2 linked regions of the Notamacropus eugenii genome follow. The protein of the gene in region 2 binds, or shares a complex with, the protein of the main gene of each other region. Links are inferred from orthologs where the notes say so. Each region holds a gene or a part of one and is shown on either strand. Other genes may lie near its edges.

Region 1 (7,927 bases), on a different chromosome or scaffold from region 2:
TTTAAGGGACTGATTTCACCATTATTTAAAAACTGAATATCACTTTATAATTTATAAACATTATCAGTTCAACTCTGTGATAGCCTAGTGCTATATCTCTGAATTGATTCACTTTTAGTTCTAAACAGCATTTTGGGTAAAAAAGTTTTTATTAGCGTTCTTTATCTAGAATCTAGTCAAAATATGTAGATGTTTAAAGTCATTAAAACAAGAAGTTTTCATCATAAATTTTACATAGAAACTATTTAAATAACTTTCACAAATATGTAAAATGCAAATAAGATATTTTTGTAAAACAAAAAAAAAGAACAGTACTTGTAGAAACTCTAGGCAGCTAATCAATATTATTTCAATGAGCTGAAACCTTTCATGAGAGAGTTACTACCATAAAAGATTAAATGTTACCTAAAAAGCAAAAGAGATCATGATGCTTAGTCCATTACCAACCATTGTTCCACTGTGGTATTTTTAGCATTTTTACATTAAAATTTTATGCAACTTACTGTTAAAACTAATTTTATCAGGTAGTGAGTTAATAAGATTTATTTCACTCGTGGAAGATTTCAAAACTGAAGACGCTGCAGAGAAACAAATGTATAGATCAACAATCATAGTACGATACAAAGACACAATGTACATTTTGACCCTAGTTTTGAAATTTTCTATGAAATTTTGAACTAAAAGATATTTGGAATGGTAACTCAAGTAGTTCTGTCACTCTGCCACAGGTGATACTTTCAAGTACAATTTGACCCAGAGATGTCATTTTGAAAGTATTTTATTTGCTGTATGCACAAGAAAACTTAGCTAAAGTGATTTTTTTTTCTTGGAAGGGTCAGCGTATCCTGCCCTTACTGACAACATTTAATTCACCTCATAACCATCGACTATATAAAAGACTGGTTACTGACTATCTGAATAGCTTCTGAAAAACTTGTGTCTAGTGGACTTCCTCTTTCTTCTCCAATCACTAAATAAGTAAAAAAAACCAAACAAACTACACTTCCAAACAAAAAAAAAAAGACCCACAAACCCCTCCCAAACCTGTAGGACTTGCTCAATACACAAATTCAAGGTGATCCCAAAAGTATTCTTACCAGGAAAGGCATTTTAAACCTCTTACTGAGCCATCGGGTACCAAAGTAGATAATCTCTAGAGTCAAAGGAGGTCAAATAACCAGCTGTTATTAGTAGTAGTACTACTGTCATTGCGTCTGTTTGAGTTTAAATCCTATGATCCCATACATTCATTCTGACTTATCCTGATTCACTACTTCCCTTCCCTGTTCTAATTTAGTACCCGTTATGCGAAGTCTGGGTTGCTAAAGAGGGGGCTAAGAACACTGGAAAGACAAACTCCTATCAATAGAGTCAGACAATTTGGGTTTAAATTTCAGCTTTCATGCTTGCTAAATTGGTGATCTTTCTACTTCACTTTTCTCATTCATAAAGAGACCAAATTGGATTAGACGCCTCTCAGATCTTTCTCTTAATTTTATGAATAATTTTGTCCCTCAGGTGCCTGGCTCAAACACCTCCACAACTTTTTATTCTAGCTTTCCTTTCGGATAGGAACATCTGGGACACTTGCCTTCTTTTACCCTGCTTCTATACCGAAGTCCCTTTCCGACTCGTTTCTCCAGCTGTCACTAACTAGCTGACCTTAGGCCAATCTCCCCGCTTTAAGCCTCAGTGCCCTCACCTGTAAAATCAGGGATTTGGGCCAGATGACGCCTAAAGTCCTTTTGAATTCTAGGTCCCGCGGTCCCTGTACTCCACCTTCCTTGGCTCACCCCTCTTTCCCTCCCTCTCCAGTCCTGCAATGATTCCTTGGACTGACACCACCCCACTCCCCCCGGGACTCACCAGGAGCAGGTTATGGGCCACCTGGTAGCCAAGCCGCCGGTTACCCCGCACACCAGGGGCCAGCCTCCCTGTGGCATAGCCGTGCCAGGCCACCACATAGGGGTTGTCGATGGTGATCCAGTACTTGACCTGGCCGCCAAAGTGGCGAAAGCAGAGCTCGGCATAGTCCCTGAAGAGGTCGGCCACGGTGCGGTTGGCCCAACCTCCGTAGATGTCCTGCAGGCGCTGCGGCAGGTCCCAGTGGTACAGGGTGACCACGGGCTCCACGCTGAGCTGGCGCAGCCGCTCCAGCAGGCGCCGGTAGTAGCGCAGCCCCTCGAGGTTGGGGGGCCCCGCGCCCACGCCGCCACCTCCGGGCAGCACGCGAGCCCACGAGATGGAGAAGCGGTAGTGGGTGACCCCGAGCTCGCGCAGACCCTCGGTGTCGCGGAAGATATGGTTGTAACTGTCTCCGGCCACGTCCCCCGTGGCGGGACGGGACAGAGCCGGCGGCAGAGACGGCTGGGAGGACCAGGAGTGGGACGGGGCTGAGAGTTGGGGCAGGAGGTCCCCTGGGGGCGCAGCGGGGCGGTGGGTGAAGGTGTCCCAGATGGAGGCGCCCTTGCCATGCTGCCTCCAGCCGCCCTCCGTCTGGTAGGCAGCGCTGCCCACTGCCCAGAGGAAGCCGTCGGGGAAGGTGTCGTGGAGGAAGCCCGCGACCTCGGGCGATGGAGCTCTGGCGAAGCGGACCCAAGTCTGCGCGCCATCCCCCGGATCAGCGCGCAGGCAGCCGCACAGCAGGCACAGCAGGGGCAGGGGCAGAAGTAGCCGCGGCGGGGCGGCCCCGGCCCGAGCGTGGGGGCTCATCTTACCTGCGGGGTAGCAGGGGAGCACTCATGTGAGGCCCTAGCTCCCAGGCCGGACCCCTTTATCACTGCTCCCGCCTGCCTCCCTCCCCGCCCCTCCACGCGCTCCGCGCCTTCTCCACAGTCTCGCCCACCTCTGCTTCCCTCAGTGGGCAAGTCTGTCAATAATTACCTGGGAGCCCCCGCCTTCCCCTCTTCTCCTCTCTTCCTCTCCCCTCCCATCCCATATCCCGAGACTTGGTGTTGAGGTTAGTACCATGATCTGGAAGAGGAGAAAATGATACCCAGGGGAGAGCCAGGGGAGAGGACAGGGAGAACCAGGCTCTCTGGAGACCCTGACAAGGAACCTCAGGGAGAGGGGAAAGACGGATCTTTTACTGGCGACAAAAGAGCAGGGAAGAAAAAGCACCTGTTAATCTTCATCTCACTACTCTTCTCCGAGAAGTAACTGATGCATAAGGAGGGTGAAATCATTTATAAACCTAGATCAGGAAAGACGAGGGATGTGTGTGCATCCATCTAGAAAAGTGAGAGGGAAGACCAACTTAACTGGAGGACAGAACTAAATCTTCAGCTGAAACCATCCTCCATCTCCACGAAAGAGGATAAAAGATAGTCCAGAAAGGAAATCTGCCTTCTTGGCTGGATTACTGTATCAACATTATCATCAAACAAGTGACCTCCCCTCAAAAGCACCTGCTTCCTCATCTTCACCCCACCCCCATTGTTGCCTAAAAATATACTTTTCCTTGAAACATAGGTAGAATTTTTTTTTTTTTTATGGACTGGGGAAGTAAAAGGATGGAGTAAGTGATTTTTCAGTGAAGATAAATTTCTCAGCATTCTAACTTTCAAACATTCTCAAGGTATTACCCATTGCCACACATTTTACCAGTCACTAAAGGATGAGGTCCTCTGGTGGTATACCTGATTGTAATAGAAATGTGTCTTCTTACCACTACTCAATGATTCTGAGTTTAATTTTCCACTTTCTGCATGGTCAGTGCTTTTCCCTCTTTCCCTCTTACCCTTGGTCTTTTAGCCATTCCATTATCTATTAGATTTTCCAAGAGATTATGAAAAATGCCTGCTTGAAATTCAAATCATTAATATGAAATTTTTTTATTTATCTAGGATGAAGGTTTGAGTGATCAGTAATGGTAATTTATCCCACTCTCCTTTCTACACTTTTCCTTAAAATTTGTCCTATACACCAGCAACTAAATTATCTTAACAAAATTATGAGTTCAGTGCTGCCTAGAGGCTTCAGCGAACAAAGAATCTGATTATGTGTTATGAAACTCAGGGGGATAGGGATAATGAGAAGGAAAAAAATAACAAAAATGCTGGGGGGTTTTTACCAGATATCAAAAAGAAATGTTGGTCCAAAAAACTGTGGCACCATAGGACTTGTTGATATCCCTGAAATCATGTTCCATACAGTAGTCTATTATTAAGGAAAGGTCATTTCTGGATTGCTTAGCATAATACCACAAATGATATGACTTCTACTTCTTCCATTTGTAAATACAGCAATGTTAAATAAATTTAGGTACAGCAAGCATGCAACATTATCTGTAAGATTAGAAAGTCTGGGCCATGACATAAATATGAAATAATATGACTACCATTCCATGGGCTTAATAAAATATAATTATTAAATGCAGCCTCATTTTTTTCCCCTAAAATGATTTGGCTCTATAAGAGCCAAATATAAATTTCAATTTCAATTAGAAATACTTCAGAGGTCCCATGGGAAAAGAGCTTAGGCTACGTATCAACTTCTCAACTTCCATGTAGTTGTTCTTCAGGGTAGAGTGTATCTAACACTACTTTTTTTTTTCTAAACAACACAAAATCCAAAGATAACTTTAGAACTAATAGAAAAGAAAAAACTAATAAAATGCATCATATCTAAAATTCAGCTGTACAGAAGAAACTTAAGAAATACAGGTCTCCTTAGGGTAATATTAAAACTTTCATCCATAGATGTCCCCAGGAGATGTTTTTAACTTAAGATTGAAGACTTTATGATAATCAACCCTTATTTTTAGAAATACTTATTTATGAAAGTTCCACCTATAATGACTATCACAATTTTGAAGTGTCAATTACTATTGCTATGTATTTTAACATTTTCATTTCGTTAAATATAGAAAGTCTTGTTACCTTTGGTAACCATTAATAATCATGTAATGTGGATATCATTAGAGTGGCCACATAGAATCAGGAGATTTGTATTGGAATACTTGTTTTGACACTTAAGAGCAATGTGATTCTGTTTAACTGCCCTAAACTTTAGGTTATTTATATATAAAATGGAAAAGATAATCCACAGTTTCACAAGTGGTTTTTTTTTAAAGTTCTTTGAAATCTTAACTAAATAAATATAAATTATCTTCCAGGGCAAAACTCTTTTGAGAGGATACTAACGTATATTTTATACATGAAGATGATGTTCCTGACTTCCTTTTCAAAAGGATCCATGATTAAAGTTGTTTTTCCGGCAGTGAGAATGAATTTTCAGTAATCCATCTAACCTCTCAATTATCCAAACTATTTCATCCAATATATAATAATAACTGACATTTATACAGCACTTTAGGGTTTGCAGGGCTCTTTATAAACATGGTTTCATTTGATTCACACAACAACCCTGTGAGTTCAGTGCTACAGGTATTATTATTATGCAGATCAGAAAACAATCTCAGAAAGATTAAATGATTTACTCACACAGCTAATAATTTGAACCCAAATCTTCCTGATTCCAGATGCAGCACTCTGTCCTCTAAACAATGCCATCTCTCATTTACACTGTTAACCCTGCTTCACTCTAGAGTAGACCAGAGGTTAAGCTGGGAAGTGGGAGGTCCATGAACCTGAATGGGGGCATTGGAGGTGGGGAGAATTACATTTTTGTTTTCTTTTTATTTTCCTGGTAATTCTATGTGTTTTATTGTTTGCAGTTAAAAACATTCTTATGAGAAGGGGTGCACAGGCTTCACCAAACAATCAAGGAGGTCCATAATACATAAAAAAAGTCAAGAACTCCCTTTTGTTATTCAGTCATGTGCAACTCTTTGTGACCCCATTTGAAGTTTTCTTGACAAAAATACTACAGTAGTCTGCCATTTCCTTCTCAAACTCATTTTACAGATGAGAAAACTGAGGTAAGAGTTTGAGGTCAGATTTGAATTCAAGAAGATAAGTCTTCTTGACTTTTGGTCCAGCACTCTATCCACTGTGCCACCAAACTACCCCTCAATAACTCCTACTGTAGACCAACTATAAAGTTTTATGTAGTAATGAGATAGCTGAAGCTGGAGATAAAATCATTAGTCAATAGATCTAATCAATCAGCTGATTAATTAAATAGTCATGTATCAGAGGAAGATTTTTATGAAGCTACATATAATTATGATGTCATAGTGCTCTATGTAACCAGTTCAACAATTTAATATGTGCATATCATCATCCTATCAACATATTTGTAACACTCAAGCCCAGAGGAGGGTCAGATAGTTTCCTGAAGGATATTCCCAAGATGGGACACTAGACAAGTAGAAGCATGACTCTTGATTGGCAGAGGTTGGGATACTGTGTATAGCAAACATGAGAGAGATATGACTCCTGATTAATGGAAACTTTGGAGAGAAAAAACAAGAGGCATAGCTTGAAAGAGCTTATGACTTTTGAACAGTGCAAGCTTTTAAACAGGAGGCACTATTGCCATAGACACACCCTTTCTCTCCTCCCCTCCCCAAAACATGTCTTTATATCCCTGAACTCCCAGAGAGTATTTCCAACTTTCCAGATGAGGGAAATTACCTGGAGATGGTGCCACTTGAGCTGTCTTCAACAAGTTTCCCAGTTTAAAGACATGATACTAGTCTCTCAGGTAATAAAAGAATGAAATAGACAGAATCCTTACCCTCAAGGGATTTGTAATCTAGTTGGGGACATAAGACAGATACACAAAATAGCTATGATACAAATGAAAATATAAGTGCATCTAGCCTCTAACACATACTAGCTGTTGAATCATGGGCAGATCATTTAACCTCTCAGTGCCCCAGGTACACCAGAAAAATTATAAGTGAAATAACTCTGGATGAAAAAAAAGTGAAAGGAGAATAAGTAGTTTAGAACAAAAGATGGAAACCACAACCAAGTAGTAAACTCCCTGGAAATTAAAATCGGCCAAACTGAGTTCAATGTTTCAGAAATAAAATATTAGAATAAAATCAAAACCAAAAAATAGGGGGAGAAAATGTTGACTATCAAAAAAAATTCAAGGGTATGTGGAGATGGTGTCACAAGCTGAGTCTTTAACAATCAATTCTAATCAATTTTGCTACCCTCTTCCATTTTATGGGCGAGTTCACCCCATTCTCATTCATAGTTATAATTGTTAATTGTGTAAATCCTTCCATCATATCCTCTTGCACATTTTCTTCTCTTTGCCCCAGACCTCTCTTTGTAAAGAAGGTAGTAAGAGAAGGAATCTGATCAGCACAATGAACTGCAATTGAAGCTATCTACTTCTGCTTTTTTCACTTCACTTAGACCACTAGTTCTTACTTTCTGTCCTTTTGATAATTTGCCCTCTGAATTTGGTTGTTTTGCTTGTTTGAAGTTAATGAGGTTCTGAATGGACTTGTTTCTTCCCCTCTATTAGAATTGTAAGCTGTTCATCATCACTTAGTCCAGAGATGGGGAACCTGCAGCCTTGAGAATACATGTGACCCTCTGGGTCCTCAAATGTCATTCTTTGACTGAATCCAAACTTCACAGAACAAATCCCCTTAATAAAAGGATTAGCTCTGTAGAACTTGGACTCAGTCAAAAAGCTGCACCCAAGAACCTAAAAGGCCACATGTGGTCTCGAGGCCACAGGTTCCCCACCCCTGACTTAGTCCCTTATAATTGCTCAAGTACATTTTCCTCTCTGGGTAAAAATGGTGAATTTGTAGTCAGAGCACCTGGATTCAAATCCTAGCTCTTCTACTTACTTCCTGTATGATCTTATGCAAGTCACTTAACCTCTCTGGGCCTCCATTTCTTTATCTGGAAAATGCTGGGGTTGGACTAGATGACTTTTAACCTGCTTTCTAGTTCTATATTTATGCTTCTAATTCAATTTCCAGTTACAGATTTTGATCTACTGCCTTGAACTTCGATACCAGTTCTATACTTGGGATTTTCCTAAGAGTTCT
Region 2 (7,837 bases):
CCTGAGGGGTTGGGATAGTAACTCCAGAGCCTACATATGCTATATATAAGCTGAGTAAGTTGGTCTAGATAATTTTTGAGCATCCTATCAAGTCTACATTCTTTAATTAAATTTTTAAGATAAATTTTATTAATATCTTTCTTGTTTGTTTTTACATCACAAAAATTACTCAGTATCATTTTTCCTTGTCTTCTCATATCTCCTTTGCTTATTCTTTGTCATTTTGCACACCCACTTGTTTTGGGGTTGTTCGTTCTGTATATTGTTTTCTTGGTTCTGTTTATTTCACTCTGCATCAGTTTCTGTAAGTCCATATTCCTCTGTATTCATCATGTGTTGTTTCTTATAGTACAGTAATATTATGTTACCTTCATAAATCACAATTTGTTCAGTCAATTCCTAATCGAAAGGTATCTACTTTGTTTCTAGTTCTTTGCTACCACAAAAAGTACTTCTAAAAATGTCTTGGTGTATATGAATATTTTCTTCATATCAGTGATTTCCTTGGGGCATAAGCCTCATTGTGGAATCTCTGAGTCAAAGATCGTGGACTTTTTGTCACTCTCTTTGCATAATTCTAAATTGCCTTCCAAAATGATTGCAGATTCATAGCTGCACCAACAATACATTATGTTTCCCCACAACCACTACACCCTTGATTCTTGCCATCTTTTATCATCTTTGCCGATTTTCTGGGTGTGAGGTGGAATTTTTTAGTTGTTTTGATTAACATTTCTTTTATTTGAAGAATTCTTTCATTATGGTTGTTCATGGTTTTACAATTCTTCTTTTTAGAATTGTCCCTTCATATCCTCTGACCATTTATCTATTAAAGAATGGATTTTACTTTCTTTCTCTCCATATATACATATGTGTGTATATATACACACACGTATATTTATATGTGTATGTCTATATGTGGTCTATATATCCACATATACGTAAATGTATTATGTATATCTATATATCTTATATACCAATCTGATGAGTTTGCTACAAAGATTTTTCTGCATTCAATTATTTCCCTTCTTATCCTAGAAACATTAATTTAGTTTGTACAAAAACTTTTCAATTTCATATAATCGAAATTATCTTTTTTATCTTTTGTTATGGCCTCTATCCTTTATTTGATTAAGAATGAATCTACTCAAAATTGTGAGACATATGAGCTGCTTCTCTTCAAAATTTTTATATCTTTATAAATTTTTATATCTTTAATATTAAGGTCAAATATTCATTTTTAATATTTACTCAAGAATATGGCATAAGATGTTGGTCTAAACCTAATTTTTACCAGACTGTTTTCCATTTTTTCCTCAGCTTTTTTTTTTTAAATAAATTACTTTTCAGAGTAATTTATATTTGGGAGTTTATTGAACATTGAATTATTGAGTTTTGTTGTTTCTGAATCTCCCTTATCTGGTCTGTTCCATTGAGCTACTTCTGTATTTCTTAACCAACACCAAATGGTTTTAATGACCACCATTTTCTAGCATAATTTGAGGTCTGGAAGTACTATTCTCCCTTCATTATTACCTTTTTCATCACGTATTTCTCTTAATCTTCTAGATCTTTTGTTTCTCCAAATGAATTCTGTTATTATTTTATCGAGTTCTATAAAGTATGCCTTTGCTAATTTGATTGGTATAGTATTGAAATTGTAAATTGACTTTGGTAGGATTGTGATTTTTATTATATGGACATAGTCCTGAGCTGACCACTGAAGAGTCCTGCTACTACTTAAGCTGATCTTTGTTTCTTTAAGGAGCACTTTGTAATTGAATCAATACGAGTATTTTGTGTGCTTTAGTAGATTGGTCCCCAGTTACTTTATGCATTTCATAGTTATAATCATAATAATAGGCAGCATTTATGAGTGCTTTATGGTTTACTAAGTACTTTACAAATATTTCATGTGATCCTCACAACAACCCTAAGATAGGTGCTATTATTAAACCCATTTTAAAGATAGGAAACTGAAGACAGAAATTGAGTGACTTACCCAGGATCAAATAGCTGGTAAGTATATGAGGATAGATTTGAAGTCAGGTCTTTCTGACTCCAGGTCCATAACTCTTTCCACTGCTATACCTTTGTTTATTTTATTATATCATTTTGAAATCTGTAACTGAACTTATCAAACATTTGCGAAAGTACCTGCTATGTGAAGATATTGTGCTATACACTGGGAATAGTAATGAAAAGACCTTGCTGTCAAGGAATTTATTATTTTAAAAGATATACATGAATATCTAAGTTAAAGATGCAAGGGTTAATATAAAAAGTAAAAAGAAATGTCTAGGTATTGAGAAATGATCCTTTCACCTTGGTAGTGGAGAAGGTTATAGGGTATGAAGAAAAGACTTCAAAAAACTTTAAAAGAGCACCTGCATTGAATCGTGTGTGTATGTGTATTCAATTCTGGGCCCCACATTTTTTTTTAAGTTCTGAAAGAATATGGCATTTATTCTATGTATTTTTTAGTTTTTTCATGGTATTTTATTTTTTTCCAATTACATGTAAAGATAGTTTTCAACATTCATTTTTTTATAAGATTTTGAATTCCGAATTTTTCTCTCTCTCCTTCCCTCTTCCCAAGATGGTAAGCAAATTTGATATAGGTTATACATACGAAATCACTGCATTGAGTCTTGAAAGAAGAGAGAATCTTCAAGAGGCAGCGATGTGGGCTAAAAAGGGGAATGTGATCCATGCCATCATGGGGTACCAGAGTGAATCATGACACCCAGACTGGAGGTGGCAGGACTAAGACAGGGAAGGAAATAATCTAGTTTGGGGATAGTGTAGAATATAAAAGAGGAGTATGAAGAGGTAGGATCATGAGGTTTGAAGCTATAAGGAGCCTTAGCATTGGTCTAATGTAGCAGATCATTGAACTTGGCTTTTTAAAAAATTAATAATTCTACCTCAAGATAAGTATTTTCCTTTGAAATCCTATGTGTTTTATTTTATACATCTAAAAACATGATTCTGGTTGGAAGTGGTGGCAGCTCCTGCCTACAATCCCTTCTTTTGGAAGAGGTTGAGGCTGATAGCCTGAGCTGAGGAACTCTGAGCTGCAGCAGGGTTAAAACTAAGGGTGTGTTGGTAAATGTTTAACAACCAGTTCTGTAAAAGAAGATTGCTATGTCATGTTTAATCTGCGCTATTAATATATTCTCCATCACTTTCTTAAGTCCAGGCAATCGACAAGATAATAAATCCAGCCCTAATTTATAGCCTTTGACAAGCCAATCTGTGCATGGTGTTCACAGTATACAATTATGGGGTGGGGGGGCCCTGCTATAACTACCACGCTGCCTAAAGATGAGCAAATCTTCCAAGGCTGGAAAAACAAGGAGAATAGAACTTCTATGCTAACCAGTGTTGAGATCAGGACTCTTGACAGTCACTACACTTCCAACCTGGACAAGGCAGGGAGACCCAGACTGAAAAAAAATCTGGTAAGGAGTCCTTAGGTTTCAAAAGATTTCCAAGCAGCGCTTGATACACACATAATAACGGTTAGAAATCCTGGTCTAACCCAAGCTCTTTATTTTGCAGATTTTTAAAAAAGAGGTAAACTGACTTGCCTAAGGTTACTGAGGAATAGAGTAGTAGAAACAGAATTCGAACCCAGCTCCTCTGATCCAGATTCAGGGCTCTCCTCATTACACCGTAGCTGGCACTTAGGGCCAGATTATGAGATTCCTTGAATGCCAGGACTGGTTGCTTTAACCTTATTCTTTTTAGTAGGTAAAGGAGGACCATTGAAGACTTTTTGGTAGAGTAAGGACATGATAAGAGCAGTGCACAGGTGAGGTTACTTTGGCCGCAGTGTGAAGGATGCATTGGGGATTTGGGGAGGTTAACATCAATGTCCAGAGGAGGTAATAAAAGCCTGAACTAAGATGCTGAGGGGGTAATGCATGTCCAAATGAAGAAGGTACGGGAATCTTTTCCACGAAATTCTCCTAGAAGAACGGCTTTTCCGATCTGACCCAGAAACCTTGCACGACACTGTCCTAGATGAAAGGTGCAGACCCCCTATCTAACGGGAGCACAGCTCCGGTCCGAGAGACTAGCAAGGCAACACAGCTTTGGTTTTCCCCTCTGCAGCAGTGGTAAAGGAACTACAAGGCCCAGCAGGCAGCTGCAGGGGGAGGAGGAGGAGATGGAGGTGGAGACTAGAGTATCGTCTGAGTGAGTGAGGCAGTGAGTGAGGCTTCCAGGCGCATAGCCTTAAAAGCGCTCAGTGGGATAGGCGGGCAGCCGCCGAAGCTGCAGCGAGAGCAGCCTGGAGAGTAGGCAGGGGGTGAGCAGGAGCCCGTACCTGTGCTCAGCCGCAGCGCGCCCAGAACCCAGACAAGAGTACCTGGATCGCCTTGAGACAGCTCCCAGAAAAGACCCAGAGAGTCCAGGCTCGGCGTATTGCGAAGACTTCGTATCTTCCCCCACCCCCAACCCCAAAGAGCCGTTGCAGCTGGAGAAACAACTGTGACTGAAGACTTTTCCTCCAGTCCTGGGGATACATTGCCAGTGCCCACACATACACTCGGATCTGTACCGCAGCAGTAGCCGCCGCCGCCACCGTCACAGCCTGGGCGCGCTGCGGAGCCGCGGCCCCTGCGAGGAGATGGAGCCCGGGTTGCAGAAGGTGTGAGCCGTCCGCAGCCCCGGCTCTCCGGAGGAGGGGGATCAGGGGGTCCAGAGACCCCAGGAGGCGGAGGGGAGAGCCCTCCGCCCTCCCCCCCTCCGGCGGGCACCCGCTTCGACCCTATTGTTCCCGCCGGGGCTGGAGGCGCCGTGTAGGGGCCGCTCCCGGGACTTGTGCACCGGCTGCGGGGCTCTTGTGGCCCCGCAGGGACGGGTTCTGTCCCCGGGGCGGCCAGTCAACTTGAGGGACCCGGACTCCCACCCGCTGGAGCTGCGGCCGACTCTCCTCTAGGGGAAAAGCAGCCCAGACAGAGGTAAGAGTGGCTGGGGCCCCTCCAGATGCGAGGCCGCCTCTCCTTAGCTCGAGATCCCCAAGCCTGGGAGATCCTCTACCCTCCTCCTGCACCATCCTCCTGGCGCTAGCTTAACGACCTGTAACCCTTTGGAGCTTAAGCGTGCGCTGTGCTCCAGAGGTCTCCCCTCTCCTCACCCCTCGCTCCCCCCTTTTGTCTACCCTCCTCTTCCTTCTCCCGCTCGCAGTTGTGCGCCCCTACTCCCTCCGCGCCTCCCTTCCAGCTCGGCTCCTCCCGCCGCCCAACTTCTCTGCAAACTAGCGCCCGGGGTTCTGCGAGACTGCGGAGTCTGCAGCCTCTAGGCCGGGGGAAGGGAAAGAATTGGGGAAAGGGAAAAGGCCAGAGGGCGAAGGCAGCCGGCGGCTCGGGGGTCCGAGGACGACGGAAGAATTGTGCCTGAGTCTTGAGTGTACTGCATTCCACTCCACCCCTCGTGGTGACTGACTCACCCCAATACTGCAGCAGGTAGCTTTGGTCCGACCACTGGATCGGACCGATTTCTAATCCCTTTTTCCCACTCCCAGTAAAGTCCGAGCCCCGATATGTATTGGGGGGATGGGGGAAGGGAGAGGTTGTTGGATAGCTTTTCTTCGTTTAGTTTTTAGGGAGGTGGCGAAAGGTGGCGTCACTAAATGGCAAAGAGTCCGTTTTAGGGGAGGGCGAGGAAGGTATTTCCTTTAGGGGAGGGGGTTATCTTTTCCTACGTAGTATTCCTTAGAGGCGAAGGGAGGGAAGTTGAGGGAAATTGGAAGGAGCCCAATGGACGAATAAGCCCTTGTGTGGGTTGGGGGTGGTTGGGGGTGGGAGGAGAGAGGAGGAGCGTTCAACTCTACTAATCTATCTGGATATAGGAGATGAAATGAGAATGTTTTGTCCAGTGTTGTTCACTTTGCAGCAGTGAACCTCACTCTTTTTTTTTTTTCTGGCAAAGATCTGGCCTGGATTAATTTGCCCTCTGGCCCCTGTGTGATTTTCTGGAGAGGCGGGCTAGCAAAAAAAAAAAAAAAAAAAAGAGGAGGGGGACCGGAAACTTAGTTTCCAGAGTGACACCTTTGTATAGTTTGGCAATCCTAGTTGGCTTCATCCCATCCCCCTTTCCTCTCTCACTCAACCGGGTGGGGGGTGGAGAATGGGGGGTTGAGGGTTGAAACCAGTCTGCTTCTGCTGGGACCAAAAGCGATTGGCCCATTTACAAAATGTTGCTGTGGTCTCTTTCTCCCTCCCCCCACTTTTAAATTTTTTTAGTTTTCCAGATGTTGCACCAGTGAGCCCCATCTGGTTCCATTTCACCCAGTACAGCAACATTGCAAACAAACAGCGCCTAGCATTTCTCTGTGGCTTTTTATTCCTCTCCCCACCCCCAAAATGCTAAGATCCTTCACTTTCCTCAAGGGCCAGGAGCATTTCCTGCGCCTAAGAGATGGATGGGAGTAGGAAGAGAGAAGAAGGTTACCTTGGATCCCGGGTTATTGGAACTTCTCTTCTTCATCTTGGGTGGTAAAAATAAATGGGAATAGGAGCTTTGGAGGAGGGGATCGAAGGTGCCGGACATATATTTGGGTAAGCCACTCTCGAATGGCAGACTTCATCCCCTTAGGGCATGACTCCGCCAGGACTCCGAGCTGATGGCAGATGTAACTCTCCGAAACCCCAATATTTCACTTTTGTGCTTTGAATGAAAAGAAAACGGAAAAGGTGTCCTGCCCTGTTGGAGCTTGGATGGGGAGGGGCGAAGTTGGCCTGAACTCTTGGGCTGCTGTTTCTTGGGCTTTCTGGGAAGGCCGATTGCCCCTTTCCCATCGAGGGAGCCCCAGGGGGCCGTCCCCCAGCGGTGGCAGTCATGCGTTGCTTTTTCCACCCTTCCTCTGGAAGGCTGGTATGTGGCGGCGGCGGCGGGCGCTGGGGGCGTGTGAATGGGGCCAGGTTGAGGTGTTGGCTCTCACTGCCCCTAGCCTAGTTGGTCTCTATGTTTTTTAACGTAGTTTGGATTGCAGCCCCCGGAAACTAAAGTGACTCTGCCCTAGTATTTAAATAACGGTTACCGGTTGAAAAGCAGACGGAGGGTGTGCATGCGTGCGTGTGTGTTGCTTGTGTTGTGTGTGTGTCCGTTCCTTAAACGAGGAAAGCTCCTTATGGTCCAAAGTTTAGTGGGGGAGGGAAAGAGGGAGACAAACTTCCCTCCTCCTCCCCTCCCTTCTGTCTCTCTTTCAAATTGAAAACACTTCTCTGGTTTCCTTCTCTGGGCGGTAGTTTTGGAGGTTGTAATGAAATCGCACTTTCTCTAGACATGGTAATTAAGGTGACTGTTTCCTCAGCAGATGTGCCCTGCTCTCTGCACCTCCGGACCCAAGCTTTTTTTGGTATACCGACTGCCCTGCAGCCTCAGGACAACTGGGCGGGTTGCTGCTCTCCCCCTCCTGTTCCCGCCTGTCTCAGCCACCCAGCCACCCCCCTTCCTCAGCCTTTTTCCACCCCACCCTTCGAGGATGATTTTACAGCCCCTACAAAGTCCAGTTCTGGGGCTTAATTAGCCCAGTGGCCACGGCTCTCTCTTTACTTTCGGGGAATAGGATGAGCAGCAGCCTCTGCTTCGAACTTGCCCTTATGGCCTCCCTAATGACTTGTTTACATATTTCCTCCCATTTAGGGCTGAAGTTTGTCGGGAGCAGCTCCAGCCCCGATACTTCTAGCACCCGGTCAGCAGCCAGTGGACTGGAGACGCCGGCCGCCGCTGCAGGCTTGACTCCCTCTCGGGTTGTTCAGCGGCTAGCGGCTGACGAGCTCCTCGAAATATCTGTTACGTTGACTCTTAGTCATAGCCATAGCTA

What was found. The genes of interacting proteins can lie anywhere in the genome.
Region 1: the proteins of FGFR1 (region 2) and KL are in contact, whole or in part, in a cryo-EM structure (PDB 7YSH), measured with the Homo sapiens proteins. The link is inferred for Notamacropus eugenii from reciprocal best matches to the Homo sapiens genes FGFR1 and KL. Residues at the interface, in NP_075598.2 of Homo sapiens: Asn272, Gln288, Leu290, His292, Ile293, Asn296, Gly301, Pro302, Leu305, Pro306, Tyr307, Val308, Gln309, Ile310, Leu311, Lys312, Glu322, Leu326, His327, Leu328, Arg329, Asn330, Glu334, Asp335, Thr340, Leu342, Leu349, His351; in NP_004786.2 of Homo sapiens: Ser539, Gln540, Phe541, Asp543, Leu544, Asn545, Val546, Tyr547, Leu548, Trp549, Asp550, Val551, Lys555, Arg556, Leu557, Val560, Val563, Thr565, Lys566, Arg568, Tyr571, Val573, Ala576, Glu625, Arg628.

What each region holds. Positions count from the first base shown.
Region 1 is NC_092876.1:202,147,673-202,155,599, reverse strand, and holds the start of KL (klotho), read right to left. Parts: upstream 3,011-7,927; 5' UTR 2,713-3,010; coding exon 1,867-2,712; intron 1-1,866. UniProt on the Homo sapiens protein: May have weak glycosidase activity towards glucuronylated steroids. However, it lacks essential active site Glu residues at positions 239 and 872, suggesting it may be inactive as a glycosidase in vivo.
Region 2 is NC_092872.1:622,453,305-622,461,141, forward strand, and holds the start of FGFR1 (fibroblast growth factor receptor 1), read left to right. Parts: upstream 1-4,833; 5' UTR 4,834-4,970; intron 4,971-5,238; exon of another isoform or gene 5,239-5,474; intron 5,475-6,462; exon of another isoform or gene 6,463-6,569; intron 6,570-7,837. UniProt on the Homo sapiens protein: Tyrosine-protein kinase that acts as a cell-surface receptor for fibroblast growth factors and plays an essential role in the regulation of embryonic development, cell proliferation, differentiation and migration.